Linked DNA regions of Zea mays. Each later gene encodes a partner of the first gene's protein in a complex. Links are inferred from orthologs where the notes say so. Each region holds a gene or a part of one and is shown on either strand. Other genes may lie near its edges.

Region 1 (4,655 bases):
AGTTGTTTCTGGCGCACAGGGAGCTTGGGGGGTTCATCAAAGATTCAGAGGGATTCAGGAGAGGTGGAGGGTGTTTTCTAATAAAATGCGGAGTTGGGAGATGCAACCGTTTGATCGAAGATTAGAGACTGAGATGTTATATGTGCACTATTGCTTCATGTGCACAGGTTACTTCGCCTTTGTAATATGCCTTTGTAATATAGGAAATGATATATGTGGATATTTCTGAGGAAGTGAGGACGAGACCGAGAGTAGTGGGTCCAGAGCTGCAAACGAACACGGGCTGCCCGCACATACAAGCCCGTTCAGGGCTTGTTCGGTTACACCAATCCAGAGGGGGATTGGAGGGGATTAAATCCTCTCCTAGTCAAAAATGACTAGGAGGGGATTTAATCCCCTCCAATCCCCCTCTGGATTACTGTAACCGAACATGCCCTCATAGTTTTTCATCCAAAACTCTGACTGGTGAAGCGGAACAAGATCAGCATATGCTGATGCGCATTGACTTGCGTTGCAAGATTTGGTGACAACTGTATAATTTACAGGGGGAAAAACTGGCGTAAATAACAACATAGAGGGATAAACAGGCTCAATTCAACATGCAAGACGCAGTCAGCGTTCAGAGCATTTTGCAGGTTTTCATGCTAAAACTGTTACTCCGAATTTCCTTCCTTAAAAACCTTTACCCACTTCTCAACACTGTCGATTACTTCACCGGTCTTGACCAGGTATCGGACCTTGGTCCCGTCCTCCAGGAATTTGTGGCCAACCCTGCTTACCACACTCTTCTCCTTAGAGTAGAGCATCACATTTGAGCTATGAATGGGGCCTTCAATCTGATCAAAGAAAATTTAAGTCTGATCAAGAGAACGATTAGGCACCTACTAAAACTACAGATATGCTCTTGAAACCAATATGTGCAAAGCATCATGAGAGGCCCAAAAAACAAGTTCAATAGAAATTTTGCTGACCATGACGATTTCACCGGGTTCATCGTCTGTGCCTTTCTTGTGCTTCGACTTCAAGTTCAGGTCCTTCACGATCACCGTGCTGTTGTGCTTGAAAAGGCGTGTGACTTCTCCAACCTTTCCTTTCTCACGGCCTGCAATAACCTGTACCGTGTCCCCGATCCTAACATGCATCTTGTGCAGCACAGGAAGACTGTTTGGTTTACACTTCTTTCGCTCCCATCTCTTAAGCTGCAGTGGAAAGTGAAGTTTTAGGACATTTCACATTATTGGATAAAAAAGGTATCAAATATTTGGACTAAAGATTTTTTTTACTCACTCTCATTTCAATTGGGCATATCTTGACCATAAACCTTACCTGCATATTGAACATATTAAACAGCTTGTCAGAACTTCACATCCTAAAGACATAAGATTCCATTTCAAATCAAAGAGACACTAATCAGATGCTTCTGAGATATGGCATGACTCAAACACAGTGGTTACGATTCATGTTGATCTGATCAAGACACTACAGGATCCAGGGCTCCTCTTTATGTTTGAGTAATACGATATCCCTTAAAATACAGTGGTTCTATCACTTCCTTCAACAGTGATTACTTGACCTCACTATCTATTCTTTACTTGCTTTTGCTTCTTAACAGAAAGGTTTATCCTCATCCGATTCTTATCAGTTGGGAATTTTCCAGGCACAAGTACATACAGGTAAGGCATAATAAAGATGACACAGAAAAGAAAGCAGGGTTCAAATACAAACATCATTATGCTCATAATACACTATTTGGCGCCAAATTTTGTTTCCAGTTAGTCATATGTATTGTGTGATGTGGGGTAATTCAGGCATAAATATATATAAACAAAATCAGTGGCACATTGAGGGCAACATAATTTCTTCAGTTGACATTTTGACCGCTTCAAAAGCAACATAATTTCCTCAGTTAACAAACTAAATAAAGAGTACTCGAACAAATTTTACCACATGAAACACAGCATACTCTCTATTAGCACTAAAAGGCAAACATGTGCATAGTTGTATATGCAAAAAGGACAATACCGGATTACCAATGACAAAGGAAATTCTCTTACTTAAATTAATCCCAATCAGTTAATCTATTTGGCGCACTCAAATCTTACCATTTAAGCTTCCATGCAAGATAAAAATAAAAAAAGAAGGTAGACGAAATTCAATATGGACACGGTCTAAATTTAGTGTGTGTCGTGGAGCAAATAGAAACTTAATGTAATATGAAATCTAATAAGGGCGAGTTTGGCATAGTTCTACTCCAAAACTTTGGGTGAAGTATATCTGCTCCGAAGTGTAGATTGCTTTCTCATAACCAGTGCATTGGATGTGTCTTGATTGTTTTTGAAGGATTTTTCAAAGTAGCAAAAAATGTACTCCAAAAAATTATACTACAACTCTCAAAACTCTATAGAGTTTGCAACTCTAGAATTAGGGTGTTTAGTTGACTTTGTCCAGGTCTTCCTTAAAGTTTTGCTCTAGAGTGATGTCAAACACCCCTAAACATAGTCATATTAGAAGCCTGGTTTGTCATCCTTGAAAATGCACAATTAATAACAATGCAAAGGTAATTTTCCATTTCATTGCATCCAATCCATACAGACTAGCTCCAAAACCGTAATGCAAGCTCGAATGTCCCTAGAACAATTCCATCCGACCGCGCTTTGCAACGCTATCCAGAAACTCCAGAGTAAAATCTTTCACCAGAACAGCTACTTATTATCTACCAAACCATCAGCAGAACGGAACGGAATTGGGAAGCAGGAACAGACCCCAGGCTGCGGCGCGGAGTAGGTGGCGAGCCGGTTGCCCCAGAAGCTGCTGCTGCTCGCCGTCGCCGCGCCTAGCGCGGAGATGGAGAGCGACGCCATGGCGCCCTGCAGCGATGCCATCCCAGCCATCCTCTCGCCGCTCTCCCTCTCTCACTGGACTTGCTCAGCGCCCAAACTGCTCAAAGGATAACGCACGCGGCTTCTTCGAGTTGCCCGGAACCGGAAGAGAGAGGATAACGCGCTCTTGTATTCTGACGCTGGTGGGTTGGGCCTCGTCACTAAATGAGACAGGCCTCAGGTGAGGCACAGATGGGCCTGGAAGACGCTTAGGTGATCCAGTGAGGCCCATGGGTGCTCGTTCTACCGCCGTGAGAGGCTACAGGCTAGGGCCTCGGCTCCACGAGCGAGCTCCGCACGCATCAGCTGATCAGCATCACTGCATCAGCTATCAGGACGACAGGACGAGGACGGCGGGGTCAAGGCTCTCTTTCTCTCTCCCTCCCTCTCTGCGTGTCTCCTCGCACGCTACGCGAGGCCACGCGAGATTGCTTGGGAGATGCGTGCCCGCCTCCAGATTCCCCGTTCCAGCGCCGAGGCGCGCAAGCTACGCGACGGTTGCTGAGGCAAGCGAACCCCCTACTCCAGTTTTTCACTTTGCTGTTGTGTAAAATAAAATTCGCGTTACAGAGACAGAGACAGTTTGGGCGATGGAGGGTAGGTGGATGGCGGTGACATCGAAGCTTTGCGCTTTTGCTGCTGCAGGTCCCATCCTGCACCGAGAAAGGGTGGGATGTCAATCGGATTTCTCTATTGCAAATCATGGTTGCAAGTTAGACGTGTTTACCTCAGATCTTTTTCTCCAGAGACATTGGGTATCTCTTTTCTCATAGTGGACTACATTTCTCCCCCTCGAAGTCAATATCTCTTTCTTCGACTTTTCATTGCTGGCAGTTCTGCGCATGTCCTAAATCCTTGAATCATAGTAGGACATCCATGACAGATCACATAAACAACACGGCCAATACATCACTGGGCAGTTGGGCCTCGGCTCCTATCGCCGTCATCTAACTACCATCTAGGGAATCAGGAATGGTCCTGCCGTGCAAGCAAACCTTTAACGTTCCCCATGGGATAAGCATGTGACTATGCAAATGCCCGACACAAATTATATCTTATTATGGTTAAGAATCTTGTGTTTATTTTTCTCTTTCTCCTTTTCTATTCGCCACATGTGTTGAGATAACTATGCAAATCGTGACATGAAGTTTTGTTTCTATGTGGCGCTACCAAACAAAATGGATAAGGAAATGTGTGGCTTTTTTCCATGATAATTGCGACAGTTTCATTTCGTAGCTATCTGTTCCTCGTGGCCATAGTAATGCTTTGCACTTTGTTAATTTTGTAAGAAAAGAAATGGCATGATCTAATAATAAGGCCTTCTCTCTATGTGGCTAACTGGCAAGGGCTTAGCAATCCTCCCCCTTTCTAACTATAACCTTTTAAGGCATGGATGCTGGAGTGCTGGGCAAAACTCAATCTGTCTGGGCAAAGCTCTACTTGCTTGCGACACTCCAGATGTGGACCATTTTTTTTCACAGGTTTCGGAGCTAGACATGTCAAGTAGTTTCCTTCGGTTGTTGATTAATTTGCCCACTGTGATAGAGATTTTGCACCTTGTGGCCTCCACAAGAGTTACTTAGTAGAGACGCACGTTGGAAGGGCTTCCAAGACAAGTGAAGCTCACTAGCTCAGCGTTCAGTTGCTTCCCACGCTTCACCAACTGAACAAGGTTTATATATATGTCATATGATCCTATCTAGTACTTATTCTTAGACTAAAAACACTATGAGTTAGTGCTACCAACTGAAGGATACGCCATGGCTGTTCTGACAC
Region 2 (2,225 bases), on another chromosome or scaffold:
ACCATACTCATATCCAATGGATAATTATCCGCGGTTATTTACCCATACCCGTATCCATTGCCATCCCTAGGTAGGCAGGTAGCATATGGAATTCGCACAATCATGCTCCAACAAAAGCAACATTACAAACAACTAGGTTACTTCTAAAATTTCCTATCATTTGCAGTGTTCAATGGCTGTTCCTGCCATCTAAGCTGAGTTTACTGTTTACCGAACCTTCCCCAATATCAGGCAATTGTCCAAATCAAACAGAGCCAGCTCCTAAAGTCAAACAAGAGGCAGATGTCTTCGTTGGGCTGCTTGTTTTCCCCCCCTTTTGAAGACTATATTTGCGTAATCCATATCCCATCATAACTTAACTGGCAAACTATGGAGATGGAGTAGCTAATCACTCTGCAGTCTGCACTGCCACTGACGGCATGGAATAAGCGTTGCACACAGCATGCAACCAAGAAATCATCTAGCAACGCACTAAATTGGACGCGGTGACAGCCACAATCTGGACAGCAATGAAAGATTCTTAATTTATAATCACAAAATCTGGGCAGCCATTGTTATTATATAATAAATCTCAAAGAAAAACAGCTTATGCGGAGGTTCAAGGGAACAACTTTGGCGACACGCCGCGGCGGCCTCAGTCGGTGGCCGCGGCCACGTCGAGGACGAGAGTCGCGGCGGGTGCCGGGGCCTCCGCCTCCTCCACGTCCACCGTGGCGCCGGAGGCGACGAGCGTCCAGTCCGGCGGGAGCGGCGGCAGCGGCGGGTACTGCGTGGGGCGGCGCTTGATGTCCCACGGCTGCGTCTTCTTGGGCCGCGTCTTCATGTGGTGCTTGGTCCCCTTCTTCTGCGGCCGCGACGAGCACTCCACCGCCAGCGCCGCGCGCCCGCCGCCGTGGAGCGGGGAGAAGCCGACGGAGTAATGGCGGGCGTGCCTCGCTGGCGACGGGGCCGAGGCCGGCGGCACCACCGTGCCCGCCAGGAGTGCGGTGACAGGCGACATGCTCGCTGGTGCTGCGCTTTCGAGAGAGGCGGACGGGTAGGGTAGTAGTGTGGGTTGTGTTTGGGATAAGATGGGAGGAGGACTGTTTCGGATTGGGTTTTGTGATTGCGGGATTTGCTACGCTGAGCGAAATCTGGCCCACACTATGTGCGATCATCTGACCGCTCACTCATCGAGTGTTTTTCCTTTTTTATATCTCCACTTCTTTTAAAAAAAACTTGTAATTGTTTAGTCCCCTGCCCTCTTCTTATCATAAAATGCCATGTCACCTTTTTATATTATAAAATTCCGTGGTCTAAGATGTGCCGTTGATGAAGCTTCAACAAAACAAAATGAGGCTCACGGGTACATAATATATTTCTTTTGGTACAACGATCAGTTGTCTCCCGAATTTTGTTGAAAAATGTTTCGGCACAACTAGCTTGTACTTCTAAAGCTATCTCTAACTCATCTAGAGATGTTAATGGAGAATTCTCCATCGGGTTATAGCATCCCAAACTCATTCCTATCATATTTAGTCCATCCTCATACCCATTATGGGTGCAAAATTCATCTCATACTCATCCTCATTCGGGTTTTGGGTCCCCAATGGGTCCCCATCTCCAATTAACGCATGTTCAGGCACACCAATCCAGAAGGCGATTGGAGGGTATTAAATCCCCTCCTAGTCAATGGGAACCTCAAATCCCCATTGGGATTGGAGGGGATTGAGGTAGAAATAAACTAATTTTCTCTTCAATCCCCTTCAATCTTGAAGGGATTTGAGTTTCCAAACTAACCCTTAGTGCTACTTTGGGAACCTCAAATCCCCTTCAGGGTTGGAGGGGATTGGGGTGGAAATGAACTAATTTCCTCTCCAATCCCCTTCAATCCCGAAGAGGATGTGAGTTTCCAAACTAGCCAATAAGGGCTGATTTGGTGACCAGAGATTACGGCGGGATTTGAGAGAATTGAGGGGGAAATTAGTTCATTTCCCCTTCAATCCCCTCCAATCCTCCCGTGATCACCTTGTCACCAAATCAACCGAGTTGATTTGGTGACAAGGTGATCACGGGAGGATTGGAGGGGATTGAGGGGGAAATAAACTAATTTTCCCCTCAATCCCCTTCAATCCTCCCGGGATCCCGGGTCACCAAATCAGCCCTAAGAGGGGATTTAAACCCCTCCAATCCCCTTCTGGATTCGTGTAACCGAACAAGCCCTTAAGGGATAACTAGGTACTAAC

The links.
Region 2: 50S ribosomal protein L24, chloroplastic-like (region 1) and 50S ribosomal protein 6, chloroplastic-like share a complex: the UniProt entries of both Arabidopsis thaliana proteins name them as parts of the 50S ribosomal subunit. The link is inferred for Zea mays from reciprocal best matches to the Arabidopsis thaliana genes RPL24 and PSRP6.

The regions. Positions count from the first base shown.
Region 1 is NC_050100.1:50,135,501-50,140,155, forward strand, and holds 50S ribosomal protein L24, chloroplastic-like, read right to left. Parts: upstream 2,949-4,655; 5' UTR 2,892-2,948; coding exon 2,763-2,891; intron 1,327-2,762; coding exon 1,288-1,326; intron 1,200-1,287; coding exon 972-1,199; intron 837-971; coding exon 654-836; 3' UTR 468-653; downstream 1-467. Other genes in the region: beta-glucosidase 25-like, read left to right, coding at 4,640-4,655. UniProt on the Arabidopsis thaliana protein: One of two assembly initiator proteins, it binds directly to the 5'-end of the 23S rRNA, where it nucleates assembly of the 50S subunit. Required for optimal plastid performance in terms of photosynthesis and growth.
Region 2 is NC_050099.1:216,898,364-216,900,588, forward strand, and holds 50S ribosomal protein 6, chloroplastic-like, read right to left. Parts: upstream 1,073-2,225; 5' UTR 1,001-1,072; coding exon 635-1,000; 3' UTR 501-634; downstream 1-500.